4 linked regions of the Anolis sagrei genome follow. The protein of the gene in region 2 interacts with the protein of the main gene of each other region in a pairwise test. Links are inferred from orthologs where the notes say so. Each region holds a gene or a part of one and is shown on either strand. Other genes may lie near its edges.

Region 1 (7,614 bases), on a different chromosome or scaffold from region 2:
GAATTATGGAAGTTTTACAGGTCTTTAGCCCTCTCTGTCAAAGAGTGGTGGTAACTTACCAAACTACAACTCCCATGACTCCATAGCATTGAGCCATGGCAGTTAAAATGGTATCAAACTACATTAATTCTATAATGCAGACACATCCTAATACAGTTAATTTACTCATTTATTAACATTTTGCACTGCATCCAAAGAAGTTGCTTGATAGCAGGCATGGGGGAGGTCCCGATGGCACAATGGGTTAAACCCTTGTCCCAGCAGCACTGAAGATTGACTGGTCGGAGGTTCGAATCCAGGGAGAGCTCCCTTTGTCAGCTGTAGCAGAGAAACTTTCAACAACACTCACAACTTATGCCAGTATTTCAGTTGCACAGGGTCCAAAGCTATTAAGATGTTCCTAGATCATGATCAGCATGCAAAGAGATCTGGTGGCTATAAAGCTGCTTCTTTCATTTAGTCTCAAAGGTACTATGCTACCTATGCAAGTGCAGCATTCTTCCGAAGGAAGCAGGGAGTGTTTGAGAACCGGGACATCCGTAGGGAGCTATAGTCCTCCCAACCCCGCTATACGTCTGCGAGACGTGGACTGTCTACAGATGTCACACCCAACTCCTGGCATGATTCCATCAGCGCTGCCTTCGTAAAATCCTACAAATCTCTTGGGAAGACAAGCGGACAAATATCAGCATGCTGGAAGAAGCAAAGACCACCAACATTGAAGCAATGCTTCTCCGCCATCAAATCCACTGGACCAGCCACGTTGTTTGAATGCCTGATTACCATCTCCCAAAGCAGTTACTATACTCCCAACTCAAGAACAGGAATCGTAATGTTGGTGGACAGGAAAAGAGATTTAAAGATGGGCTTAAAGCCATCCTCAAAAACTGTGGCATACACATTGAGAACTGGGAAGTTCTGGACCTTGTGCGCTCTAGGTGGAGGTCAGCTGTGACCAGCAGTGCTGCAGAATCTGAAGAGGCATGAATGGAGGGCGAAAGGGAGAAACGTGCCAAGAGGAAGGTGTGTCAAGCCAACCCAGACCGGGACCTCCTTCCATCTGGAAACCGATATCCTCATTGCAGGAGAACATGCAGGTTAAGAATAGGGCTTCACAGACACCTACAGACCCACCGCCAAGACACCACATCTGGAAGACCATCATCCTCGAGCTATGAGGGATCGCCTAAGGAAAGGACAAGATCCCTTTGGTTTAGGGTAGCGATATTTTAACTGCCATGCTTCCATCCTATGGAACAATGGGAGCTGTAGTTTGACAAGGCCTTGAGCCTTCAAAGCTAAAGAGAGCTGGTCCGTCTCTCACCAAACTAGAAATCCTATTGAGCGTTCAGCCAGGGCAGGTTTTTTTTTAATTGTGACAGGAGCGACTTGAGAAACTGCAAGTCGCTTCTGGTATGAGAGAATTGTCTGTCTGCAAGGATGTTACCCAGGAGATGCCCGGATGATTTGATGTTTTTATCATCCTTGTGGGAGGCTTCTCTCATGTCCCCGCATGAGGAGCTGGAGCTGATAGAGGGAGCTCATCCGCCTCTCCCCGGATTCGAACCTGCGACCTGTTGGTCTTCAGTCCTGCCAGCACAGGGGTTTAACCCACTGCGCCACTGGGGCTCCTAGCCAGGGCAGTTAAAGTGGCACCAAACTGCATTTAATTTGACAGTGTTGATGCTTATGAGTCTTAATAATTATTTCTGTTTGAATGAGAATCAACAGAGAAGCGAAACCAATACGAAACATTGTGGGCAACATGTACACAGTGTTGCACAACAGGAAAATTACAATTTGGATGTGATCCATCCTTTGCATGCAATTGTGATGGGGAGGTTATGGTTGTAAAATAATATAACCTGCATCAATAGGAGTCTAGTGTCTTAATCCAGGGAAGTCATGCCCCCCCCCCCCTCTATTCTGCCTTGGTCAGACCACACCTGGAATAATAATAATAATAATAATAATAATAATAATAATAATAAATTGTGTCCAATTCTGGGCACCACAACTGAAGAGAGATATTGACAAGCTGGAATGTCTCCACAGAAAGAGGGCGACTAAAATGATCAAGAGTCTGGAAAACAAACCCTATGAGGAGTGGCTTAAAGAGCTGGGCATGTTTAGCCTGCAGAAGAGAACGCTGAGAGGAGACATGAGGGCTGTGTATAAATATGTGAAGGGAAGTCATAGGGAGGGGGGAGCAAGCTTGTTTTCTGCTTCCCTGGAGACTAGGACGCGGAACAATAGCTTCAAACTACAAGAAAGGAGATTCCATCTGAACATGAGGAAGAACTTCCTAACTGTGAGAGTCGTTCAGCAGTGGAACTCTCTGCCCTGGAGTGTGGTGGAGGCTCCTTCTTTGGAGGCTTTTAATCAGAGGCTGGATGGCCATCTGTCAGGGGTGATTTGAATGGCTTCAAACTACAGGAAAGGAGATTCCATCTGAACATTAGGAAGAACTTCCTGGCTGTGAGAGCTGTTCAGCAGTGGAACTCTCTGCCCCGGAGTGTGGTGGAGGCTTTGTCGTTGGACGCTTTTAAACAGAGGCTGGATGGCCATCTGTCGGGGGTGCTTTGAATGCAATATTCCTGCTTCTTGCCAGGGGGTTGGACTGGATGGCCCATGAGGTCTCTTCCAACTCTAGGATTCTATGATTCTAGGCTGCAAGTGGCTCTGAATCCACTTCTAAGGAGGTATGGGCCAACTTGGGCCCTCCAGGTGTTTTGGACTTCAACTCCCACAATTCCTAATGCCCCCTCCCTCCCCCTCCCTTTTTCCCACTCCCACGGACTCGCACCGGTTCTAGCTGGAGAAGTGGCTTCAGGCAGGAGAAGCCCCCGAAGGGAAACGAAGCGGATCAGCTCCACGCCGGTCCCGAAGGCGAAGAGGAAGCCGCCCAAGGCCGGGACCATCAGCAGGAGGGAAAGCGCGGCCATGGTAGGGGAGTGGGGAGGGGTGAGGCGTTTCTCCCGCCGCCTGCAGGCCCCGCCCCGCCGGGGGAGGGGCTTCCCCGGGATCCCCACCCTCTCTCCCCTGACGTCACACAGATCCACCCCCGCGAGAGGGCATTCCTTCCTGGTTGAAGCCTCCAGAGGGGGCTTTCCCCGCCTGCCTGCCTCCAGTGGGAGTGACGTCACGCGGGGTGAAGGCAGCGGGCCCCTCCTTTAGGAATCCCCACTCAGTCCACTCTGACGTCAGGAGCCATTTAGTGCACATCTCTCTGACGTCATATCAAGGCATTCTCCAGGGAGTTTGTTGTTTAGCCTTACAACTCTGTGTGTTTTATGAGTTCCATATAAATGCTCTGCTCCTATTTTATCTCATTATACAGGGTTAGTCAAAATGCATAGGCCAATAAGCCATTCAATTGAATGGCTTATTGGCCTATGCATTTTGACTAACCCTGTAGTTTGTTAACTGTTTTTATCCTGAATATGTGGCCCGCCCATTGACATCCTTACTGTGATTGTGTTTATTGGAATGTTTTATCTTATGATTTTTTTTCTCTTTTAATGTTATTTTGATAATGTTGTTGTTGTTTGCTGTATATGTTTTGATTTTATTGCTGTATTATGTTGTCCCAGCTTGGCCCCATCAAAGCCCCTCCGAGTCCCCATCGGGGAGATGGTGGCGGGGTAGAAATAAAGTTTATTATATTATCATATTATATTATTTTACTAGCCTATATACCCAGAACCCTTCTGAGTTGGAGATATTGGATATATAGATATTTATACATATTCTAGCCATCCCCTGCCACACGTTGTGTGGCCCAGTCTGTGTATATGTGTTTTGTGTGTGTATATATGTGTGTATATATGTGTTTGTGTGTATTATGGTTTTGTGCATGCGTTGTAATGTATTTTTTTGTGTTTGGGCTTTTTAAGTCTCTTCTGTTGTGTTTTTATGAGTGATGGTCACTTGTTGGCCTGACAGGTGTCTTGTGTCCAAATTTGGTGTCAATTCATCCAGTGGTTTTTGAGTTACGTTAATTCCACAAATGAACATATTTGTGTATATGTGTGTTTGTGTGTATAGATATTGTGTGTACTAGCCATCCCCTGCCATGTGTTGCTGTGGCCCAGTCTGTATATATGTGGTGTGTGTGTATATATATATGTGCGTATAGATATTTGTGTATATGTGGTTTTGTGCATGTGTTGAAATGCATTTTTAAATTTTGGCTTTTTAAGTCCCTTCAACTGTGTTTTCCAGTATTTCTATGAGCGATGGTCACTTGTTGGCCTGATAGGTGTATTGTGTCCAAATTTGGTGTCAATTCATCCAGTAGTTTTTGAGTTATGTTAATCCCACAAACGAACATTATATTTTTATTTATATAGATGTGGTTTTGTGCATACATTGTGATGTGTTTTGTTTTTTCTTTTTCTTTTTAAGTTTCTTCTGATGGTCACTCGTTGGCTTGACAGGTGTCTTGTGTCCAAATTTGGTGTCAATTCATCCAGTGGTTTTTGAGTTATGTTAATCCCACAAATGTACATATTTGTGTATATGTGTGTTTGTGTATATATATGTGTGTGTGGTTTTGTGCACGCGTTGTAATGTATTTTTTGTTTCTTTTTGCCTTTTTAAGTAACTTCTGCTGTGTTTTTCAATGTTTTTATGAGTGATGCTCACTCGTTGGTCTGACAGGTGTCTTGTGGCCAAATTTGGTGTCAATTCATCCAGTGGTTTTTGAGTTATGTTAATCCCACAAATGAACATTACATTTTTATTTATATAGATTGTATGTACATTACAAGCACTGAAATGTAGAAAACCCAGGTTCTCTCTGTATTAGGAAGCCAAGCTGACAGGACGAAAGGGATGCTGAAGGATCTGTGTCCAAGGCACAGGCAAGAGAGGAGTAAACATTCCAGCTGGGGGGAGATAAGAATGACCTGGTATGAACAGATAGAGGTAAAAAGTAAGGAATCTCCCTCCCTCCTGACAGATCAAAAGTAGGCCTCTTGATGAATAAGCTCAATCCTAGTTATCTCTATTGCTGTAAACTGCTTTAGAAAAAATATAGAGACTTGCCGCTTGCATGCAGGAAGATATAATTTGATATTTCTATGATGCAAAAGTGACACAGTGGTGAAATTAACATATGTGGAAGCATGTTCCTTTGTTTGCGAGCATTTGAAGATGTATAAAAGGGAAAGTCAACGCCTTTATCCTCGCTCTGGCTGCTTTTGGAGAAGATTCCACACCAGGGTCTCAGCTGGAAAAAAAACCTGTACTTTTCTGCCTCACACAAAGGGTCGCTCTTGGTATTATCTATCCTATCAGCCATAACACTTCTACACTGTCATATAGAATGCAGAAAAATGGCTTCAAACTACAAGAAAGGAGATTCCATCTGAAAGAAGAAAGGAGATTCCTACTTCATAACTGTATTCCTGCTTCTTGGCAGGGGGTTGGACTGGATGGCCCATGAGGTCTCTTCCAACTCTTTGATTCTATGATTCTATGAACATTAGGAAGAACTTCCTGACTGTGAGAGCTGTTCAGCAGTGGAACTCTCTGCCCCGGAGTGTGGTGAAGGCTTTGTCTTTGGAGGCTTTTAAGCAGAGGCTGGATGGCTATCTGTCGGGGGTGCTTTGAACGCGATTTTCCTGCTTCTTGGCAGGGGGTTGAACTGGATGTCCCACGAGATCTTTTCCAACTCTATGAGTCTATATTCCTCCTAATTTGGTGTCATCTGCAAACTTGATAAGCATGCCCTCTAAACCAGTGTTTCTCAGCCTTCCTAATGCCGCGACCCCTTAGTACAGTTCCTCATGTTGTGGTGACCCCCCTCCCCAACCATAACATTATTTTCGTTGCTACTTCATAACTGTAATTTTGCTACAGTTATGACTCATAATGCAAATATTCGATATGCAGGATGTATTTTCATTCACTGGACCTAATTTGGTACAAGTACCCGATACACCCAAATTTGGTGGGGTTGCGGGGGATTGATTTTGTCATTTGGGAGCTGTAGTTGCTGGGATTTATAGTTCACCTACAATGAAAGAACATTTTGAGCTCCACCAACGATGGTATTGAACCAAACTTGGCACACAGAATTCTCTTGACCAACAGAAAATACTGGAAGGGTTTGGTGGGCATTAACCTTGAGTTTGGGAGTTGTAGTTCACCTACATCCAGAGAGATCTGTGGATTCACACAATGATGGATCCGGACCAAACTTGGCACGGAAATTCAGTATGACCAAATTTGAACACTTTGATGATGACTCTTTTGGCATTGTTTTGCAACCAATTATGGATCAGATATCATCACATAAGTTTACAGAATGAAGCAGGCGCATTTGGTTTATGTTGCAAAAGAGTGTCATTATGATCAATTGAAGAAGCAAAAGGGCAAGCCTTGAGGATTAGTGAGGTATGTGATTCATCATGTCTGAAAATTAAGAATGCACTCACCATATAGCCTAGAATTAATATCTTGCTTAATACAGGTGTACTCTTTTTTTCTTCAAGTTTCAAGTTTTAGGAATAAACAAATTGAATGCAGTTAGGGGGGGAAAGGAGAACAACATTCAAAATAAAACAACAATTTAAATCCAACTTAATTTCAAGATCTAAATGTCAGTTTAACCTGAGCAGGTGCAAACATTTATTTCTATGCCTATTATTCAAATTTTGTTCCAGACAAGTTCAAATGACGTGGTTTCAAATTTTGTGTATATAATAAACTGACATCAAATGGAAGTCAATTTATTTGCCTCTTTGATACTCTTAGGGTCCTTCCAGACAGGCCCTATATCCCAGGATCTGATTCCAGGTTTTCTGTTTATCCCAGATTATCTGGCAGTGCGGACTCATATAATCCAGTTTAAAGAAGAAAACCTAGCATATAGGGTCTGTCTGGAAGGGCCTTTAGGTAGATATGAACCATTTGCAATTGTTACAAAACAATTCTGTCTCTAAATAATTAAATATTTAGAATTTCAAATAAAACGCACATTTTCAAAGTGTCCATATCCTGCTTTTTACATTAGAGTTTATTTATGTTTTGGCCAATCTAAATGGCGTCATTAGACAGCAAGTCCCAGCATTTAAAGTATATTTAATACGCATGTGTGTATGTATTTGTATGTGTGTGTGTATGGAGCCCCTGGTGGCGTAGCGGGTTAAACCTCTGAGCTGCTGAACTTGCTGACGGAAAGGTCGGTGGTTGAAATCCAGGGAGTGGGGTGAGCTCCTGCTGTTAGGTCCAGCTTCTGCAAGCCTATCAGTTTGAAAACATGCAAATGTGAGTAGATCAATAGGTACCGCTTTTCCAGGATGGTAATGGCACTCCATGCAGTCATGCCAGCCACATGACCTTGAAGATACCTACGGACAACGTCGGCTCTTCAGCTTAGAAATGGAGATGTATTATTTATTTATTTACCATATTTATAGCCCGCCTTTGTCAGCCCAAAGGTGACTCAAGATGGTTTAGTCAGCAATCAATGCCCCCAACAATATAACATATAATTAAAAACATAAACATTTAATATAAGCCATATAAAAACATTAGAAACCATAAAAACACAAGTCCTAAGCGTCTCATTACTAAAATAATTTTCCAGTCACTTCATCCAATCAT
Region 2 (7,650 bases):
AAAACAAGCTTGCTCCCTCCTCCCTGTGGCTTCCTCTCACATATTTATACATGGCTATCATATCTCCTCTCAGCCTTCTCTTCTTCAGGCTAAACATGCCCAGCTCCTTAAGCCGCTCCTCATAGGGCTTGTTCTCCAGACCCTTGGACTTCGACTCCCAAAATTCCTAACACTATATAATCCAACTTCATTTGCATTTCCTAAAGATACATATTCACACAGCAAAGCTAATGCTTACCTATTTTGGCCCTTACCAAGAACCAGACTGACTCATTGTGAAGAGGACCTTTCCTGAAGCTACAACCAGGGGAAGTGTGTGAGAGAAACTGTGGCAATGACTGATGTCACAATGGACACAACATCACAGCTTAGTATGACATAAGACAATAGAAGAGCTCAGTGCTGATCCTTTTTGTTTGTTTGGAAATACAAAATAGAGATGGATCCTGCTGTTATTTCAAAGGCCACACAATTCATGAAAAATGTTTTGAAGCTGGGATTTTATCCATTCATATTTACACAACTAATTACCTACCTTACCAAGAACCAGATTGACTCATTGTGAAGAGGATCTTTCCTGAAGCTACAAAACTCTATACGGTTCCGGCCCAGCGTATCTGTCCGAACGTATCTCCATCTACGTCCCACCTCGGAGTTTAAGATCTTCCGGGGAGGCCCTGCTCTCGACCCCGCCTCTATCACAAGTGAGATTGGCGGGGACGAGGAGCAGGGCCTTCTCGGTGGTGGCCCCTCACCTGTGGAATTCACTCCCTGGGGAAATTAGATCATCGTCATCCCTCCTTTCCTTTAGAAGGAAATTAAAGACATGGATTTGGGACCAGGCGTTTGGGCAATCTGGCAGATAAATAAAGGACAATGACGACCGATAGGAATGGAAAATGTGGAATGAAATTATGGACTCTTGAGTTGCAAACGCTGAGCATAAGATTGGTTTTTATTGACTGTGATATATATTGATTGTTTTAACTGTTATAACTGTTTTAATTGCTGTCTATATTTTATCTGTATTACTGTGTAGGCATCGAATTGTGCCTTTTTGTAAGTCGCCCTGAGTCCCCCCTCGGGGGTTGAGAAGGGCGCGGTATAAGTACACGAAATAAATAAATAAATACAACCAGTAGAAGAACTAGTGGAAGTGTGAATTTGAGCTTTTTACAGAGGCTGAATGAATGGCCATCTGTTGGGAATGCTTTGATTGTGTATTTATTTATTTATTTAGGGTGTGGCGCAGCTGGCTGAGTGTTAGCTACATTAAGATCACTCTGACCAAAAGGTCATGAGTTCGAAGCCAGCCCGGGTTGGAGGGGTTTCCAACCAATTGTGTGTAGCCTGTTGTCGACCTTTGCAATCTGAAAGACAGCTGCATCTGTCAAGTAGGAAAATTAGGAAACACCTTAAAGTGTGGGGTGGCTAAATTAACTGATTTATGAGGCCATAAAGAAGACTCCAGCAAAGCATTCCAGCGGGGGAAGCATGCGGGGAATGCGGAAGTGCTTCATCAGCGTCGCAGATGGACGATGAAAGCGACAGCACCCCGGGCGGCCAGAAAAAGTTAAATAGCCTCTGTGTATGTCTGTATATGTTTGTATGTCAAAAATTGGCATTGAATGTTTGCCATATATGTGTACACTGTAATCCACCCTGAGTCCCCTGCGGGGTGAGAAGGGTGGAATATAAAAGCTGTGAATAAACAAATAAATAAACCCCACCCTTCTCTACCCCGGGGGGGGGGGGGGGGGGCTCAGGGCGGCTTCTAGCCAGCACATATTTGATGCCGACAAGCAACACAACAGAACACACATAAAAACAATAATTATAAATAGTTAAAAACATTAGATTAATATGATAAAGTCTACTAAAAAGAAAGTCGGTCTGGTGGCCATTGTTCCGTCAAGTCCTGTAATTGAAAACTTGTCCATAAACCGTTTCCATAGCTGTTGTCGTCATTGTTGTCATCAGGTCTGCAAGCTTACCCAAAGGCCTGACCCCACAACCACATTTTTAATTTCCTTCTAAAGGAGAAGAGGGATGAAGTGCCTCTAGTGTTGCTGTGAGAAGGTCCTCCATTGTACAAGTGACAGGGTGGTCGTTGTAGTAGGTGGCCTGTGGTTTGCTCTTCTCCACGCTCACATCTCATGGACTCCACTTTGTAACCCCATTTCTTAAGGTTGGCTCTGCATCTCGTGGTGCCAGAGAGCGGCCTGTTTAGCACCTTCCAGATTGCCAATTCTTCTGTGTGCCCAGGGGGTATCTCCTCTTCTATCAGCCACTGGGGAACTCTCGATGGCAACAGGACTGCTGACCAATAGGTCAGCAGTTAGAATCTGGGGAAAGTGGGTTGAGCTCCCTTTATCAGCTACAGCTCCTTATGCAGGGACATGAGAGAAACCTAGCACAAGGGTGGTAAAAGAAAACATCTGGGCGTCTGCAACATCCTTGCATACAGCCAATTCTCTCACACTGGAAGCAACTTGCAGTTTCTCAAGTTACTCCTGACACGAAAAATTAAAAAAGCCACTGGGGGACATGACAGAAGCCTCCTCGCAGGATTACACATCCAGGTGTCCCTTGGGCAACATCTTTGTAGACGGCTGATTCTCTCATACCAGAAGCGACTTGCAGTATGTATCCAAATAAACATCAAACCACAGTGAACCATTATGACCAAAATGGAGAAGTGCAGCTTATTGAAAACTGATTAACCACACTTTACTAACCACAATTTGAAATTGGTTTGGATTTAAAACATTAATCCACAGTTCCCAATTTAACACTTGCTGTTGTTTGCAACAGCAAATCCTTAAATGTTGTTAAATCAAACTAGGACACTATGAAATAGAGGTGCAAGATTCCCGATTCATTCCTGGCTGCTGAATTAGTTTAACAAGTGGGAAACTGACTGCGCAAACTAGGTCAGTATCATATACTCACCATTTTCACTCCTTTCTCTTTAAGTGGCTGTAGCAATTTTCTGATGAATCCTAAGCAAACAAGTCTGAACAGAACATGCCTTCGACTGTTCCAAGCACAACACAGAGCACCCCCTCTCCTGGATGCTTAAGGAAAAAGCATCTCAACAAGGCCAGTAATTACATTGTGGGTCATTTATTGATGGACAATGTGACCACCATCTGTTTCACAGACAATCCTCGAGTCTTTATCAGTGAATGGCCTCATGTATATTTTCTCTATGGACATCAGTATTTATAATTTACTGATTGAGGATGAATGCAAAACTGAAACATACTAAGAGATGTCTCCTAAAGTAACATTGAAAAAACAAACAATGATATAAATTTGTCAATGTGTCATAAATAATGATATACTTATCTTTCCAGAATACATAAACATCTGCTTATCCTGATAAAATTAAATTTAGGTTTTACAGCCTGTCATGTAAACATCTGGGATATGTCTGGAATTGTGTCTGGAAAGTTAAAAACTTCCTTCATGCAGCTGTATGAATATTCTCAAAATATCCCCCCCCCCTTTTAAAAATTCTTTTATTTCTGTCTCAACAGTTTTTCTTTGCTGTTAGCCCATGAGAAAAGTTGCTGAAGTTTGGTTATTTATTTACAGTGAAAGGAGTATTCTTCAGCATAGTTACATGATTTTTTCAAGGTTTCCTTTCTTCCATGCCTTGTTTTTTTTTGTCAGTCTTGTCTGCATACCACATGGTCAAGCCATATTCCATGTTATCATCACAACAATCCTTAATAGGAATGACTTATTAACTTGAGAACAATGAGGTGAAATAGAGATATAAACATGTCTCCAACTTTCTACACATTATATCACACTTGGCCCAACCCATGCTATTTTCTCCAGCATAAAAATGTCATTTTAGAACTGCAAAATAATGTTTCCCACTTTTTCAATTGACTAACATACATCTTGTTTTATAATCCATTGCAATCAATCTATTTGGGTATTAATCAAATGTATTTTCATTAATGTTAACAGGATTAAAATATGAAACCAAATCAATGATGGATCAAATGGTATGTAACCAAGTTCACTTCTGTGGGAAAAATAATACACATCATTCCAATTTTGATGCCTTTATTAATATTTATTTATTTATTTAGAACACTTGAATCCTGTCCTATTCTCGACCTCCGAAGAGGGACTCAGGGTGGCTTCCAACAATATGAAAACACCAATAAATACACAATTAAATAAAAAAGATAATAAATATACATTAATATGAATTTTAGCAGCATTTTTATATAATATCCATCTTAGACATGATTGTGAAATCACAAACAACTATAGCCTTTGGACCTATTGATTTAATATATATTTTTACTATCATCTTAGACATTTATTTCTGTTTGAGCCCACTATCACCAACTGCATAAGGTTCAGCTCTGCTCTGGCCTTTATAAATTTATAGTCCTGTTATGTCTGGAGCACACAATTCTGATCTCATCACAAACATCCTGTGCTTTCTGAGATAAGGTCACTCATGCATGGGAAATTGCAACTTGTGTGTATTTTACCCAACACCTTCCAATCTGATCAATCAGGAAGATTCTGCAGTAGCAGCTACTAGACCATAAGAATAAGGCCCCTTCTACACTGCCATATAATCCAGGTAAAAGCAGATAAATCTGGATGCCAATGGACCCAAATTGATCAACCTTCAGACTTCCTTATGCAGAAAATGATGAAGGTAAAACTATTCATTCAAGTAGCTAATAAATTATTACATCACTTTTATTTATTAGTAATTAATATAATTTTATTGTGTCTCATTAATCCATTTTTTTGTCATTGTGTTTATACTTTTTCAATTAATTTTGTTGTCCATCACCTTAATTCCAAGTGTGGCTGGGAAAATTAGGATATAAGTAAAATCTAACACTTGAGCCCAGTAAAAATGAATATTGTAACAGATTTCCCAGAAATTCAGGACATAAGACAATAAATCATCTCGATTCCTCTGCATGTGTTTACACTTTACATAGAAATGTTGTGCAAATAAATGAGTTCACAGATGGCAACAATGTTAATGATCTTAGTGGGACTTGTTAAATAGTTGTGTTCAAAAGTGAAAAGTAACACTACTTGTATTAAGCACACTTTGTGTAGTGACAGATGCATTTCTTTGAAACATGTTTACCATGATCAGCCAGAAGGGGCTGGAGGGGCTCCTTCTTTGGAGGCTTTTAAACAGAGGCTGGATGACCATCTGTCGGGCATGCTTTGAATATGAATTTCCTGCTTCTTGGCAGGGGGTTGGACTGGATGGTCCACAATGTCTCTTCCAACTCTATAATTCTATGAGAGTGAAGACAAAGATCCACCCAGAGGAAAAGTGTTCTTGCCATACACCAAGGGAACCACTGACCACATAATGAAGACGATGAAGAAACACAACCTATAAACAATCTTCAAACGCACTAAGAAAATCCAATGAATGCTACATTCAGCAAAGGACAAGAGGGCGCCTCTCGCCTCTGCAGGAGTCTACCGTATACTATGCAGCTGTGGACAAATCTACATAGGAACCACCAAACGCAGCATTGCCCAAACACAAATCAAGGAACATGAAAGGCACTGAAAAGTAATTCAACCAGAGAAGTCAGCCATAGCAGAGCACCTGATGAACCAACCTGGACACAGTATATTATTTGAGAACACAAAAATGCTGGACCACTCTAACAACCACCATGTCAGACTACACAGAGAAGCCACTGAAATTCACAAGCATGTGGACAATTTCAACAGAAAGGAAGAAATCATGAAAATGAACAAAAACTGGCTACCAGTATTTTAAAAAACCCCTGAAATCGGGATAATAAATAAAGAACAACACTCAGAAAACAGGCGAATTCCAGACAGGAAATAATCAGGGCCAGCTAACACCTCCCAACTAAAAATTCCACAGGCAGTAAGCAGCCAGGCTTTGAAGCTGCAAGGCTATTCAATGCTAATAAAGCTGGCTAATGGCAATATTCACACTTGCCTCAAGCAGACAAGAGTTCTTTCTCTCACCCTGGACCTTATTCCACAGATATATAAACCCCACTTGCCTAGCTTCCAACAAACCTCACAACCTCTGAGGATGCCTGCCATAGATGTGGACAAAACATCAGGAGAGAATGCTTCTGGAACATGACCATACAGCCCAAAAAAACTCACAGCAAGCCAAAGAACAACGCTTGGTCCTTAAAAAAATTGACCTAACTTGGGCCATCTACAGTGGTCATTTGATACAGATGGAAGCTATCTTCAAACTGTGGTGGCCAGATAACAAACTTCCACAATAGAGAGACAAAGAACACCCATAATGCCCACCAGTGCTTTGTGGTTTGTGTAATCACCATGCCGGCCTTAAATTGGTTCCAGGATTTACTATGTAATCATCTGCATCGGAAAATCTGTCTTCAATAACCGCATTACTTGGTCAATATAGATGGAGGCCTTGTCACTCTAAAATAGATTTTCCTGACCTAACCTGGACAACTTCAAATCAGACTTCACTGACTTGACTTAGACCCTCTATTTCTACAAAAAGAGAAAAAAGTGACCCCTTCAAATATCTCTTATAACACTTTCAAAATAAAGTGCGTTCTCAATCTAAATAATTCATGGCATTTTGGAAATACCTTCATTTGCCCTAAAGCCTATTTGATCTGCCAGCTGTGACAATTCCAAAACTTTAACTGGCATTTCATGAGGTGAGGGTGACTTTTGTGTTATTTAGATCAGGCATGGGCAAGCTTGGGCCCTCTAGGTGTTTTGGACTGCAACTCCCACAATTCCTAACAGCCTACCGGCTGTTAGGAATTGTGGGAGCTGCAGTCCAAAACACCTGGAGGGCCCAAGCTTGCCCATGCCTGATCTAATGGATTCAATGGGCCTATTGTTTATTTAGGCCCTTGACTAAGTTTAGGAAACCCCAGTGATCTTTTTCTGCAGTGCAGATCCATGCTGAAGTGCCTTTAAGATCGGGATAATAATACTAATAAAAAAATCCCTGAATAGTAAAGTTATCATGTAAACAAGGAAGAAATTTGGTGGGGAAAGCCTTCCCCACTTGGCAGGTTTGTGAGACTGAAATTTGGTGGCAGGGAAAAGCCTTCCCTGTTTCTGAGGGTGATATTTGGTGGGAAAAAACCCACTTCGCAGGCTTCATAGGGCAATGTTTGGCAAGAGGGAAAACCGTTTCCCATTTGGCAGGCTTCTGAGAGCAAAATTTGGCGGGAAAAGCCCTCCCCGTGGGTGAAATTTGGCAGGAAATGTTCTCCCCTCTTGGCAAGCTTCTGAGGGCAAAATTTGGTGTGAGGGAAAAGCCTTCCCCGCTTGGCAAGCTTCTGAGGGCGCTGGAAAAAAGCCTTCCCTACTTGGTAGGCTTCTGAGAGCAAATTTTGGTGGGGAAAGCCTTCCTCTCGAGCCAAATTTGGCAAGAAAAGCGTTCCTTGCTTGGCAGATTTCTGAGAGTGAAATTTGGCAGCAGAGAAAAGTCCTCCTGCTGAGCGAAATTTGGCGGGAAAAGCCTTCCCCATCTAGGAGGTTTCTAAGAGCAAAATCTGGTGGGTACAGCTCTCCCTGGGAGCGAAATTGGGTGGGAGGGAAACGCTTCCCTCTTGGAAGGCTTCCGAAGTGAAATTTGGTGGGAGA
Region 3 (7,666 bases), on a different chromosome or scaffold from region 2:
GTCTGTCATAGATGCAGGCGAAACGTCAGGAGAGAATGCTTCTGAAACATGGCCATACAGCCCGGAAAACACACACACCGATACATCAATGCTGACAATATAAACCTCATTTTCCTAGGTTCCAACAGACCTCACAACCTCTGAGAATGCCTGTCATAGATGCAGGCGAAACGTCAGGAGAGAATGCTTCTGGAACATGGCCCGAAAAACCTACAACAACCCAGACATATACCTTTCGTTTCCCAGCTTAGTGGTCCTCACACCGGGAAACCAAACTCTTCGGGATAAGGAGACCTCATTCCTTTTCGCCCCCCAAGACCCTCAAATCGGAACCCCAGAGAAGTCGGCAGGTTCTCAGCCATCTCCGAAGCTTGTCTTTAGGGTCCTCTGCCTCCCTGCCAGTTGCATCGCCTCCCTTCTCCCCGTCTTTCCCTTGCTCCCAGCCTAAGAGACTGACTTTCCTGGGAGCAAGTCCCTCTTGCGCGTCTCAAGGCTTACTTCCGAGGAGGCTCTGCGTTTCCCAGAGTTGCTGGTGTCTGTTGTTGTTATTGATTATGTATCACCAGGGCGGGAGGGAGGGAGGGGGGGAGGAAGCGCAGGGTGGCTGTTCTAATCCGCTGCAATACGGAGAGAGAGAAATAAAACACCCTCCAATGCTCTAATTTCGCCCGGAAAGCCCTCCATCTGCAACCGGCTTGATTTACCTCGTCGGCGCTTGTCCTGAGAAGCAAGGGAAGGCGGAGAGCAGCGGGTGAAGGGCTTGTCCAGCTTCCAGCGGTGCAGCTGGGAGGACCTCCGCCTCCGTGGACGTGTGAGTGCGTGTCTCTGTGTCTCTCCGTGTGTGTGTGTGTGTGTGTGTGTGCTATCGCCTCGCAGTCACTCAACGCGAAACATTGCCTCCCACTCACACCCACCGCCGGGGCGCAGGCACCCAAACAGGGAGGTTCGCCTCCAAGTCTAACCTCTCCCCCCGCGCTCTCCTTTCCCTCTCTGCTCTGGAATGTCTCTCCCAAAAAACCAATCCGTGAAACCAGGCAACCAAAGGAAGCAGTCTGGGCTACGGCGGCAGGCTGGGCTTTGAGGGCATGCCTTCCTTTGCTCTCTCCGGACGAGAAGGCCAAACTTAGGAGCCGCAGCCCTTAAGGGGAGGAGGCCCGCTCCTGGCACACCTTGCTCCCGGGATCACAACCCTCGGGGGAACTTTTTCCCCAGTTCCTTTTTTCCACTTTCTTCCTGCTGCCAGGCTTCGGGACCTGAGATCCTTCTCCCGCTAGATTCCAACTCCCAATCCGCCCAACTGGTGGGACCAGCCCATAACCTTGAAGTCTCCTTGCTGAGGTTGTTCCGAGTTTTCCGGATGGTATGGCCATGTTCCAAAAGCATTTCTCTGAGAAAGGAAGGGAAGTCATGCCTTGGTAAGACCACACCTGGAATATTGTGTCCAATTCTGGGCACCACAATTCAAAAGAGATATTGACGAGCTGGAATGTTTCCAGAGGAGGGCGACTATAATTATCAAGGTTCTGGAGAACAAGCCCTATGAGTAGCGGCTTAAAGAGCTGAGCATGTTTAGCCTAAAGAAGAGAGGGCTGAGAGGAGATATGATAGCCATGTATAAATACGTGAGAGGAAGTCATAGGGAGGAGGGGGCAAGCTTGTTTTCTGCTATCCTCGAGACTAGGACGCAGAACAATGGCTTCAAACTACAAGAAAGGAGATTCCATCTGAACATTAGGAAGAACTTCCTAACTGTGAGAGCCGTTCAGCAGTGGAACTCTCTGCCCCAGAGTGTGGTGGTGGAGGCTTCTTCTTTGGAAGCTTTTAAACAGAGGCTGGATGGCCATCTGTTGGGGGTGCTTTGAATGCAATTTTCCTGTTTTTTGGCAGGGGGTTGGACTGGATGGCTCATGAGTTCTCTTCCAACTCTATGATTCTATGATTCTAGACGTCAAAACATCTGAGGATGTCTGCCATAGGTGTAGGCAAAACATTAGGAGAGATTGCTTCTGGAACTTGGCCATATAGCCCAGAAAACTCACATCAGGAACAGCTAATCACCTATCAATAAAGGATTTCCTCAGGCAGTAAGAAGCCAGACCCTGAAACTGCTAGGCTAAATGCTAATCGGTATTTCTAAAAAAAACTCTAAAATCGTAACAGTAAATAAAGAACAACACTCAAAAACAGGGGAATTCCAGACAAGAAACAATCTATCTGGGCAAGCTAATCAGTTCCCAACAAAGGATTCCCCCGAGCAGTAAGCAGCCAGACCTTGAAACCGCTAGGTCATTAAATGCTAATCAAGGTGGCCAATGGAAACATTCACACCTATCTCCAACAGACGAGAGTCCTTTCTCCCACCCTGGATATTTCACAGATATAAACCTCATTTTCCTACTTTCTAACAGACCTCAAAATCTCTGAGGATCTCTGCCATAGATGCAGGCGAAAGGTCAGGAGAGAATGCTTCTGGAACATGGTCATACAGCCCGGAAAACTCACAACAACCCAGTCATGAAAGCCTTCGACAATACATTCCCTTTGCTGGGTTTCTCGCTGCTGCGTCCCCGACACCGTCTTTACCTGGGCGCCTGGAGCAGAGGAAGGGCTGCGGTGTCTTTCAGCGTTGGCCAGCCTCAGGACAGTCTCTTCCTTTCTTTCTCTTTCTCCCTCCAGCAGTGTGAACCTTGGAGAAATCTTTGAAAGAGCCCCCAACACTCGCCATTCATCCCGAGCCCTTCTGTAGCGCCTGCGGATCCGCCTTCCTTTAAAGCGGGGAGCTGTCCGCCTCCTTAGTGCTGAAGCGGAGGAAGGAGGCGCTTGCTTGTGCTCCGCAGGGAGCTGTCCCTTCAGCACCAGCAGCACCAACCCAAGCTCTGCCCTCCCTGGAGGGATCAGAGAATCATGGAGTTGGAAGAAACCCCAGGGGCATTCAGGCCAACCCTCTGCCATGCAGGAGCACTACAAAGCACTCCCCATTGATGGCCATCCCCAGGGAGATCAGGATGGCCCCATCTCTGCTTGCCTGTTACAAGCAGCTTAAAACCTATCTTTGCTGCCAGATGTTTGGGAGGTAATATTGCTGGGAAGGTTGTGGGTGGGATTTTGGAAGGTTGGTGAGTTTTAAATGTAATTTTAATTGTATTAATAATAATTATTATTTATTTATTTGACTAGTCATATGACCATTTCAAAATACAACATGAATAAAATACAAGGCAAAAAGGTGAGGGCAATAGCTGATCTTCTATTTACAGTCAAGAGTCTTATTGTCCTGGTTCTTCTTTCAAGAAATGTGCTCTTTTCTTGATAGCTTTCAGAATAAAAAGGCTTACTCTGATTATGGTGGATCTTTCTTGTCCTTGCAAAATGAATGTTAGAAGATCATTTTTATTGGGGGACCTTCAGCTGGATAATATTGGATGTAAATATCTGTATCGCAGTTCAGCATATGCTGGACAGCCAATTAAGAAATGTTCGATATCTTCCACTGTTTGTTCTCCCCATACACAGAATCTCTTACTTCTTGGGATGTTACAGTAATCATAATACCAAGTTATTCAAACCTAGCCCTAGTATATATTCTTCTTAAGGGTAATGGAAGTGGGATAGTCAGATAGTGTTCTAAATGAATATTTCTTTTGTTTATATCCATCCCTATATTATTATTGTGTCATGTTATTATGATCCACCTTGAGTTCCTATGAGGAGAAAGCTGGGATAGAAATCATGATGATAATAATAAAAATTGTTGCAACCCACCCAGAAATCACCTTGACCTCATCATCAGCCAAAAATTCAAAAGTGACAGTAAGACAGTTTATTGAGGAGAAATACATATAAAAAGGGAAAGTCACCTTAAGAAATAAGAAAGGCAAAATCCAATAGGAAATGGAGAAAATAGTCAACAAGTAATAAGCCAAACCAAACTGGCAATAAGAAAAAGCACTCCAAAGGTAATAATCCAAACAGCCCAAATCTGTTCCATAAAACAAGCTACAGGAAAACCAGAATCAAAATATAAGCATAAATCCAGGAAACATGAATTAAAACATGAATATGAATCTAAAAACAACACAATAGAAACTTCTTAAAACGTGAATCCAAACTCCCAAGATCTTAGACCCTAAATATGAACTAGAAATGAGGCTCGAGATCCTCACTGTTTTTGCAGCATTGCCTGATCTGAATTCTAAAGGAAACAATTCTCTGATTTGAGGTCCACAATCCATTAAGTCATGCCTGTGATCTTGACTACCTTGCCTTCGAGATTTCTCCCAAAGAAGGCGCCTCCACCATACTTTGGGACAGAGAGTTCCATTGTTGAACAGCTCTCAGAATTAGGAAGTTCTTCCTCATGTTCAGGTGGAACCTGAAGCCTTGTACTACAACCCAGAAGCACACAGTTCAATTGATGCATAGTTCTAGTCCCAGTGACTCTTGAGAAACATCTTCTGAAGTGACAATAGTCAAGTAATTAATATGACCAAGTAGGTAGAACAGATTTGATTTAGGGATTTTAAATTTATTACACTCTCCCTTATACCATAGAAATGGACAGGTGTGGTTCTGCAGATGTTGAGTGGAACTGCAGCTCCCATAATCTCACACAATTGTCCTGATCTGATGTGTACTGTGAGTCAAGAGCATATGGAGGGCAATACTGAGGAAGATTACTGGTCCATCAAACCATGAACTGGCTACAGCTTTCCAAGGTCCCAATCAGAGGGCTTATTGCAATATTTGCTATGTGATCCTACTAGCTGGGGAGGCCAAGGATTGAACCTGCAATCTTCTACATGTATATATAGAAAATATTCTACTATCGATATAGCCCTCCCTCAATGGCCCTAGTGTGATCAGAGAGAGACACCTCATAAATTGTTGTTCTTCTCTGTAACTTTTTACTTTCATTGTGAAAGCCCTTGGAGTGAGGAGGAGGATTTTTAGAAGCCTAATTTAATCATTAAGTGGACTGCCTGCTCCAAAACTTACACCTGAATAGGATAATAATTGCCTTTATGGTTATAGAGATCTTCATACAACACTCCCGGACATGACTGACCAGGTTAGTATGTGACTCAACTATACTGAATTATCCAGCTGAAGAAAACATTGCATTACTGTATCGATGGAAATAAGAAATCAATAACCAAACAGAATCTGTTCATTTTACTTGGAAGGTCTGCCCTTGATCAGCTAATGAATTCTTCCTATACAAATCCACACACAAAAGACTTATGGCTTACCATACAGACTCTGAGAAATAGAAACTCATAAATATAGTGCTAGATCTTGCACAGACAATATTAGAGAATGAAGACGAAATATTAATTTTGCAATTGCTTAAAGCTAACCTCTTGCAGTGATTGTATGCACACACGTGTGTGTGAGACGAAGGAAAGTCAAGTGTGCCAACAAGCAATTACATCCTTACTGAGAAAGTGCCATTTCACAAGTGCTGTTGGATTGTAGCTCCCATCAACCCTAGCAGCCTAGCCAATGTTGAGGATTCCCGGATGATTCAGTCAAATCATATTTGGAGTGCTACACTTTGTTCACGCTTACCATTTCGTAATGGTAAATGACTTTTCACCTTAAGATTACAAGTCCTGAATTTCAAAATGGACATGTAAAATGCTGGCATTTAGTTTACCATTCCAGTGCCTCCCCTTTTCCTAGGGTTTCAAGACAGCTATAGAGGAAAGGGGTCCCATGGACTCCCAAAGCAGCCTGATCTAGTGCCAGAGTGTTTCTGTAGCTGGAATGTTTTCCTGCTGTTTAGCATTTGTTGTTGTTTACTGCCCTCAAGGTGACTTTGACCTATGACCTCCAAGTCACTGTAGCTTCAACAGCCCTGCTGTTTCAGGTTTATTGCCCCAGGTTCTTTAATTGAATCTATCTTTTTGTAATGCCGTCTTCTTATTGTCCTACTGCCTACTACTTTACCAAGCCTTCTTATCTTTTCTAGTGAGTCATGTCTTCTCATGATATTGTCAAAGTATGACAGTGTCAGTTTAACCGGCTTGGCTTCTGGAGAGAGTTCAGGCTTGATTGCTCCAGGATCCATTTATTTCTCTTTTTAGTGAGCCAGTATCCATAGAACTCTTTGCCAGTGCTGCATTTCAAATGAATTGATTCTCTTCCTATACGCTTTCCCCATTGTCCTGCTTTCACAACCAAACATAGACACTGGAAAATGCTGTTTGACAGACCTTCCTGCAAACAAGCCTCATTACTTCCACTTTTATCCTCATTAAACAAATCATCCCTTTTTGGCTTTAATTAACAGCCTCTTACAATTTGAATATCATTTTCCTTCCCTGTACCATTTTTACTAAAAACTTCCACTGACTTCAGAGCAAAATGCTCTCAAATCGCTGCTTTTATCTTCTTTTATTTTTGTTATTGATTGGTAGCCTGTGCAACCATGCAATCAAGATTCTTTCTATGCTCAGATATATACTTTCTAAATCCTTCACAGGGCTTTTTTTATTGTATACTAGCTTGGGTACCCAGCATTTCCCAGATGATTAGAAGAAGTGGTTTTATTTTATTTTATTTTATTTACTGTATTTATATACTGCTTTTCTCATCCCAGGGGGAACTCAATGAGGTTTACAAGAAATAATGGCAAAATTAAATGCCTCACATACATATAAAACCAAATCATAAATCTAAACAAAACATATAACTATGCATTAAAATCAATAAGATAATTAAACATAAGACAAAACAACATTCAGACATGAAAACATAGAAATTAAAACCACCTAATATAAACATTAAAATCACATGATCCAAACTCATAGACCAGGGCAATTCCAAATCTCGATTGCACATATATCATATTTATTTCTTGTACTGCATTACTTTACTAATCAAAGGCTTGGTCCCATAACCATCTCTTTGATTTCTTTCTGAAGAACAGGAGGGAGAGCACTGATCTAATCTCATTGGGGAGAGAGTTCCAGAGCCAAGGAGCCACCACTGAGAAGGCCTTGAGTCTTGTCCCCACCAACCACCTTTGCAAAGCAGGTAGAACCTAAAGCAGTGCCTCCCCAGAAGATCTTAACCTCCAAGATGGTTCATAGAAGGAGATACATTCAGACATTTTACAATCGTGGGTGTACTATAACTCACATCATGCCAGGTCAATCTCCTGAAACTCCAGCAATACTAAAAGTTCATCATGTTGGGTAAGTTTACAATTCACAACATGCCAGGTTAACCTCCTGAAACTCCATTAATACTTAAAGTTTGTCATATTGGGCAAGTTTTCACATCATCGGTGGGGTTCAGTGTGCTTTCTGGCTGGAGGATGAATTACGACTCTCACCATGGTGGGTCAGTCCCATCAAATCCCTCCAGTATGTTCAGTTGGTGATGGGGATTCTGTGTGCCAAGTTAGGTCCAAGACCATAGTCGTTGAGGTGCAGAGTGTTCTTTGATTACAGGTGAACTATAAATCCCAGTACCTACAACTAACAAATGTCAAGGCCAATTCCTCCCAAAACCCACCAGAATTCAAATTTTAGCATATTGGGTATGTGTGGCAGATTTGGTGCAGATCCATCATTGTTTGAACTATAATTCCTATAAATCAAGACGAATTTCCCCCATAGCCCTCATGTATGTTTTGTTGATCATGGGAGTTCTATGTGCC
Region 4 (7,313 bases), on a different chromosome or scaffold from region 2:
CAATTCATAACAGTAGCAAAATTACAGTTATAACGTAGCAACAAAAATAATTTTATGGTTGGGGGTCACCATAACACGAGGAACTGTATTTAGGGGTCACGGCATTAGAAAGGTTGAGAACCACTGCTTTATGACAATCACTTTTGACTGTCAAATGTTCTTTAAGTCCTTATAACAGAGCTTTTCAAACTTTGTGTTGCCTCACATCAAAGTGTTGGTTGCAGTGTGTAGGTGTGTTGTGTGAATGTAAAACGAAATGACACAAATCTTAGAACTGTGTGTTATCTTACAAATCATATATTTTTAAATATATAAATGAAAGGTTTTCCTGAAATATTTTGTGTCTTTCTACATTTCATCATTCCAATTAATAAATCTGTCCACATTTCTTTGAAGGGGCTGGTTTAACCTCTAGTTTGCTAGTAAAACTGACTTACCGCCTTGTGAAATGATACATATCTAAAAGGTGTGTGCCCAGCATGACATGGTTGGGAAGCTCTGTCTTATAACAATGCTGTACCAGTGAAGGGCCTTATCACGCTCCCACTTGAGTGGCATTGTTCCACTGTACCTGCCATGGCAACATCCTATGGAATCCTGGGATTACCAGTGAAGGAGGGGACTTTAGGATTCCTAGTCAGAGAGGTCTGGTACCTCAATAAACTGCAAAGGCCCACAGGATTGCAACTAACAGTGCTGTAACAGCGTAGGGCCTTCTTACACCACACTGTTATACTCATATGTACTCAAGTCTAATGCGCCATCGAATCTAATGCGGACCTCAATTTTCAAAACCCTGAAACCAAAAAAAAAAAAAAAAAGTATTTGCTGGCGAATGTAATGCGAAGTGACAAAAGTGCACTCTTTGTAATTTGGCCAAAGAAGGTCTGCTGTGCACTTATAATTCCTTCTTTAAAAACAAAAGTGTTAGAACACCAAAGCTTTAAGCAATGGAACCTTGGGGTGCCTCTATGCTGTAGAATGAAGCACTTTAACTGCCCTAGCTCAATGCTATAGAGTGACTGGAATGTCAAAGAATGCTAATTCCTCACCAAACTATAAATCCCAACATTGCATAGCATTGAGCCATGGGAATTAAATTAGAGATGATGTCCCTCAAATAGGAGCTCCAGGTGCTCCTGAAATAGCTTCGCCTTTAGCTTTGATTCAGCACAAAAAATCATATTACATGAATCTAATGCACACCCGAATTTTGGGAAGGTAATTTAGCCAAACCAGGTGGGCATTCGATTTCAATGAAATACAGTAGTTCTAAAGCAGTGGTTCCCAACCTTTGGTACTCCAGGTGTTTTGGGGACTTCAGCTCCTGCAATTCCTAACAGCTTGTAAAATGGCTAGGATTTCTGGGAATTGGAAATCCAAAACACCTGGAGAACCAAAGGTTGGGAACCACTGTTCTACAGTATTATAGTACTATTATGGAGACCCTGGTGGCGCAGTGGGTTAAAGCACTGTGCTGGCAGGACTGAAGACTGACAGGTTGCAGGTTCGAATCCAGGGAGAGACAGATGAGCTCCCTCTACTAGCTCCAGCTCCTCATGCGAGGACATGAGAGAAGCCTCCCACAAGGATGATAAAACATCAATAATCATCTAGGCGTCCCCTGGGCAACGTCCTTGCAGACGGCCAATTCTCTCACAACAGGAGCAGTTGCTCCTGACATGACAAAAAAAAATAGTACTATTATTCCAGTTTAACTGACCTGTTTCCATCTGCTGTTTAGGAAGTGCTGTTTAGAATGCAGCCAGAGAGCTCTGGGGCCTCACACTACAAAACCCAGAATTCCACGAGATGTTGCCATAGTAATTAGAATAGAATACTTGTGCTACAATCGTATACAATTGGAGATTATCACACTACATTTTTAAAGCAGGCATGGGCAAACTTGGGACCTACAGGTGTTTTGGACTTCAACTCCCATAGTCCTAACTGCCTGTTAGGACTTGTGAGTGTTGGAGTCCAAAACAGCTGGTCAACGTCTGCCCATCCCTACTTTAAAGCGTGGGCATCTCTTTAAATCCTATGGCTGCCTCTTGCATAGTTCTGGGGTTTGCAATGTAATAAGGATAAGGATCTCTCTGGCAGAGGGTTGTAAAGGCGCAGGTAAGTAGCCAGGGGGGGGGGGGGGGCTTGGGGGGCTTTAGCCCCCTCCCCTGAAATTCTCATGGTGGTTCGCGAAAAGGCCTTACTGGTGCATTATTTAAACTGTTATGTTTATTCATATCATGATCTGATCACCGTGCTCAATATATCCCATATGCATGGGGGTATTGGAGTAACGATACAAAAGGTTTGCTAGCGTAGACCCTCTTTCACTGACTCAGCCCCCCCCCCAAAACAAACTCAGCCCCCCCACCCGAATCGAAATCCTGGCTACAGGCCTGTAAAGGCCCCTCCCTAAAGTGCCAATCCCAGGATTTCAGAGGAGGCAGCCAGTGGGTTTAAAGTGGGATACTAACCCTTTAGAAGTGTAGTGTGACCATCCTCACTGCATTATTATAGCGCAGGCATGGGCAAACTTCGGGCCTCCAGGTGTTTTGGACCTCAACTCCCACAACTCCTCACAGCCTGTTAAGGACTTGTGGGAGCTGAAGTCCAAAACACCTGGAGGGCCGAAGTTTGCCCACGTCTGGTATGACCTCGTGGGTGACGGCCCTTTTCAGGCTACTTCAGTAAAATTCCGGCTGTTAGGAATTGTGGGAGTTGGGAGTTCAAAACCCCCGAAGTGTGCCCAGGCCTCATCTGTCCCCTCCTTCTTCCCCGCCTCCAAGGCTCCGGCCCGAGGGCCCTTCCTTCTTCACGTACCGACCGCCTGGCTCCCGCGCAGCCTCTCCGGCCCAGCTCGCAACTCCTCGTGGAGGCCGCGGAAGATTTCGTGCAGCCGCTCCAGGTGCTCCGAAGAGCCGCTGCCGCGACCCTCCATAGCGCCGGCCTCCCGAAACAGGCCCCTGCCGCTTCCCGACAGGCACTTCCGGCCCCTGCACCGGAAGAGGGGCCCGGCACACCGCCCAGAAACACCCACGAGCGCAGCGGAACAGCGCCCCCTTCGCCCTGGAGGGCCTCATTACGCCAGGAAACAGGCATAAGCAAACCTCGACCCTCCAGGTGTTTTGGACTTCAACTCCCACAATTCCTAACAGCCAGAATTGCACCGGGACTGTGGCGCAGCTGGCTGGGAGTCAGCTGCATTAAGATCACTACTGACCAAAAGGTCATGAGTTGGAAGCCAGCCCAGGTCGGAGTGAGCATCCGACCAATTTGTGTAGCTTGCTGTCAACCTTTGCAGCTCGAAAGACAGTTGCATCTGTCAAGTAGGAAATTTAGGTACTGCGTACGCGGGGAGGCTAATTTAACTAATTTATGATACCATAAAAATCTCCAGCAAGAATGCAAAGAATAAGGAAGTACTTCATCAGTGTCACAAATGGACGGTGAAGCAACAGCTCCCCTGGTGGCCAGAATACCCTCATCAAAAGCTGGAATGTTAAATAGCCTCTGTATATATGTGTTGTGTGTCTATGGCATGTATATGTACATTGTAATCCACCCTGAGTCCCCTGCGGGGTGAGAAGGGCGGAATATAAATACTGTAAATAAATATAAATAAATAAATGAAAGAACTCTTGTCTGCTAGAGGTACCTGTGAATGTTGCAATTTGCCACCTTGATTAGCATTTAATGGCCTGCAGTTTCAAGGCCTGGCTGGTTGCTGCCTGGGGGAATCCTTTGTCGGGAGCTGTTAGCTGGCCCTGATTGATTCTTGTCACACATACCTCAAGCAAACAAGAGTTCTTTCCCCCACGCTGAACACTCCACAGTTATATAAACCCCACTTACCAGTTTCCAACTGACCCCTCGACTTCTAAGGATGCCTGCCATAGATGTGGGCGAAATGTCAGGAGAGAATGCTTCTGGAACATGGCCATACATCCTGGAAAACTCACAGCAACCCATTGATTCCAGCCATGAAAACCTTCGAGAAAACATTATACAAACCGAGTTTAACGTCCCAGCCACAAGACAGGTTAAAAATATCAGGGGTAATGTGTTAGGGTAGAACTTCATTTAGCTCAGCCAATATAGATGATACCTTAACCATCATCAAAGGCCACCTTGAAGAGCTATGTCTTCAGGTCCCTCCAAAAAGACTGAATTGTGGTGGCTTGCCTGATTTCCTTGGGGAAGGTGTTCCAAAGCCAGGGGGCAACCACTGAGAAGGCCCTCTTCCTCATCCCCATCAGCCATATTTGAGATGGGGGCAGGACCGAGAGGACGGCCTCCCTGGCAGAGCTTAGAACCTGCACAGTTTCTTAGGAAGGCAATGGCAAACCCTCCAAAAAAAAACTTGGCAAGAAATCCCTGAGACAGGGCTGCCATAAACTGGAAGTGACTTAAAGGCATCCAACAAAAATATCTGAAATATTAAAGCAGATCTTCCTTTAAATATATTCCTGCCCTTGTTTCCCAATTGAGACCAGAAACAAGGAGATTATAACATAGCTTTATTTCTACAGACCGAACTTTGGGTTGTTCATTGCTGCTGAGGAAACCTTTAAATTCCATCATCAATTATCCTTACCAACTTTCCCCCTCCCATCTCTGTTGTGTTACCTGAACTCTTCTTAGTTCAGAACAACATATGTACAATATGATCCGTTGCACCAACTCACATACTGTCCTTTTAGAGAAATTTAAAATGGTATTTCTTTGTCCATATGAGAGACCTTCTTTCAGCAGCCAAAGAGCAAATCTGTCTGTCTCTCTGCAGCTGCATAGCTCGAGCCTGAACAAATGTGCAACAGTATCCAAAAGTTCCAGGCTCAGCCATCACCCTATGCATTGCCCAACCAATCAGCTTCATGCATGTTATTTTACAGTTTACACACACAGTTGTATTCTCCAGCAAGCTTCATGTAATGATTCTTACTTCGTAGGCCAAAGTAGGAGCCTGAGATGTCAGTAGGCAGGCCTCCATTTTGGGAGTTTAGGCAGAGGAGGCAGACATCTTGGGAGTGTAAAATGAGAAGAAGGGGAGGAGCTGGAGCTCCCTCTGGATTGATTAGGACAGATGGGAGGAGTTAAGCACAGAGAGGGGAAAGTGTCAGCTTGAGAGAGAGAAGAGAGATTGGTTTTGGGAACAGAGGAGAAGAAAGGTAGATTTTTGGTGAGCTTAGATTTTTCTGTGAGAGAGCATTTTGTGACAGGCAAGGCTGCATTATTGACCAAGAGGGTCAAAGTAGTTGCCTGGGTGCTTGTGTTGGTTTTTACACAAGTGGTTTGCTCTCTGGGTTAGAGTAGATTAGCTTTTAGAGGACTCTGCTTAGAGTGTAGCTAATTGCTCTGGGGACAACCTGGTTAGGTTTGTCTGGGGAACGCACTGCTGCTGTGTTGTAGAGTGAGGAGTTTTACTCATATCTAAGACAAGAAACTGTTTATAGTAACCATCAAGATTACTGTACTTTAGAAACCATTCAAGCTTGTGTGCCTCATTAAAGAAGATAGTTGTTTGTTCTGTATTATCAATAAGCATATTCTCTAGTTCAACTTTAAAGAAGCCTCAATAGTGATTCATTCCAGTGGGAATAATACTAGCTGTTTTACCATCTTTACTTCACAGTCATCTCAAGGAGCTTAAGGGAGAGCTGGTGGGCAAGGAAGAGGATTACCTCAGGGAATCATTCTTTAATTTCCCAAAGTATTTTGGGTGGTGGCAGCAAATCTACCAAAGTACATACATGTTACTTCACATATATATAAATGCTCTGTGCCAGAATCATATTCCATCATAGTTGTGTCTAGTTGTGGAATTGGTAACTATGATCCTTTAAACTGACGACCAGTGGCGTGATTTAAAATTTTTGAGTGTTCAGCGGTGGGATAGTAACTTTAAGGCTTGATCCAGTATGTTAGATCAAAAACCTGAGGTAAACGTTTGTCCCAAAGTGATCTGGAGGTACCTCAGAAACTGCCCAGAAACCCCATTTTGAAACCCTGTAGTGATGGCTCCACCTACAAATAAAAAGACCTCAGCAACTCCAGTAGGAGAGGAGAGGCAGGAGGCTGAGATGTTAGAGACTGTGACTGAAGAAAGGGTAGAGAGTCCAGAAATGGTGACTACCTCCCTAGAATTGGAAAAGATGAGAATGGAAATTGAACTTAGGAGGATGGAATTTGAGGCTGAGAAAATGAAACATAAGATTAGAGAGAAAGAGAGAATGATAGAAGCCAATGAGAGAGAGAGAGAAAAACAACTTGAGGCTGAGAGAATGAAACAGGAGGCTAGAGAGAAAGAAAGACAACTGGAGATTGAGAAAGAAAGGGAGAGAATGAAGCATGAAGAAGGGATGATGGAGTTGAAATTACAAGAAAGACAACCCACATCCAGTCCAAGTGAAACCCAATCTGAGCCATTAGCCTCTCAAATAAAGCATTTCCCAAAGTACTCAAGAGGGGACTGTGTGGAAAGTTTCCTCGCAAGTTTTGAAAGGACTTGCGCTGATTTTAAGGTGCTTGAGGAAAGAAAGATGGCACATATAAGGCCTTTGATATACACTGAGCTTAGTGAAAGATGTGCACAGTTAAGGGACACTGAGTGTACAAACTATGCTATATTTAAGGAAAGGGTGAAAGTGTGGAGCAAATTAGAAAGACTTTCAGAGAAATTAAAAGAAAGAATGGTGAAAAACCTATTCACAGGTGGGCTCTAGAATAGAAAAAGCTTTACAAAGGTGGCTTGAAGGCAGTAAAGTCTCCACATTTGACCAACTGAGGCATTTGGTTTGCTTAGAACAGTTTTACAAACTAGTTCCAGCCCAGATGAGGTGGTTTATAAAGGACAAGAGGATTCAAACGGTAGCAGAAGTGGCATCTGTTCTAGACGAAATGGAGGAAGACCTTGATGTAGGTTCCCCATTGTTTAGAAAGCCAAAGGAGTGGGTCCCAAAAGGAAGAGCTGACAGGGATGGTCAGAATCCTAGAAAGGGGAACACCAGCTCAGGAACTGCACCACGTAAAATCCTATGTTACCACTGTCATCAGGAAGGGCACGTTAAAGCCTCATGCCCAAAGGTGACAAATGCTAGACCTGTGGCCCCACCTAAGTACATCAAAGTGATTAAAAAGGTCCAGCCACTGACAGAAAATCCTGCTCCTCAAGAAGAACCGATTAAAATTATGAGAGTTTGGAGTATGGATAAGGGTGTGAGTAGAGATTACTTGGAGGAAGTTCAAGTAAATGAGGAAAAACTTATGAGTTTATGGGATACTGGCACAGAAGTGTCTTTAGTGCGCCC

The links.
Region 1: the proteins of TRIM59 (region 2) and NRM interact in binary tests that used the Homo sapiens proteins (3 or more experiments, as listed by UniProt). The two-hybrid records come from large-scale screens. The link is inferred for Anolis sagrei from reciprocal best matches to the Homo sapiens genes TRIM59 and NRM.
Region 3: the proteins of TRIM59 (region 2) and ZDHHC22 interact in binary tests that used the Homo sapiens proteins (3 or more experiments, as listed by UniProt). The link is inferred for Anolis sagrei from reciprocal best matches to the Homo sapiens genes TRIM59 and ZDHHC22.
Region 4: the proteins of TRIM59 (region 2) and VTI1B interact in binary tests that used the Homo sapiens proteins (3 or more experiments, as listed by UniProt). The two-hybrid records come from large-scale screens. The link is inferred for Anolis sagrei from reciprocal best matches to the Homo sapiens genes TRIM59 and VTI1B.

What each region holds. Positions count from the first base shown.
Region 1 is NC_090022.1:24,012,251-24,019,864, forward strand, and holds the start of NRM (nurim), read right to left. Parts: upstream 3,002-7,614; 5' UTR 2,946-3,001; coding exon 2,807-2,945; intron 1-2,806.
Region 2 is NC_090023.1:246,768,191-246,775,840, forward strand, and holds the start of TRIM59 (tripartite motif-containing protein 59), read right to left. Parts: upstream 3,009-7,650; 5' UTR 2,956-3,008; coding exon 2,953-2,955; intron 1-2,952. UniProt on the Homo sapiens protein: E3 ubiquitin ligase involved in different processes such as development and immune response. Serves as a negative regulator for innate immune signaling pathways by suppressing RLR-induced activation of IRF3/7 and NF-kappa-B via interaction with adapter ECSIT.
Region 3 is NC_090021.1:306,659,847-306,667,512, forward strand, and holds the start of ZDHHC22 (palmitoyltransferase ZDHHC22), read right to left. Parts: upstream 3,019-7,666; 5' UTR 2,584-3,018; intron 1,149-2,583; exon of another isoform or gene 705-1,148; intron 546-704; exon of another isoform or gene 499-545; intron 1-498. UniProt on the Homo sapiens protein: Palmitoyltransferase that could catalyze the addition of palmitate onto various protein substrates and be involved in a variety of cellular processes. Catalyzes the palmitoylation of KCNMA1, regulating localization of KCNMA1 to the plasma membrane.
Region 4 is NC_090021.1:281,960,345-281,967,657, reverse strand, and holds the start of VTI1B (vesicle transport through interaction with t-SNAREs homolog 1B), read right to left. Parts: upstream 3,001-7,313; 5' UTR 2,945-3,000; coding exon 2,827-2,944; intron 1-2,826. UniProt on the Homo sapiens protein: V-SNARE that mediates vesicle transport pathways through interactions with t-SNAREs on the target membrane. These interactions are proposed to mediate aspects of the specificity of vesicle trafficking and to promote fusion of the lipid bilayers.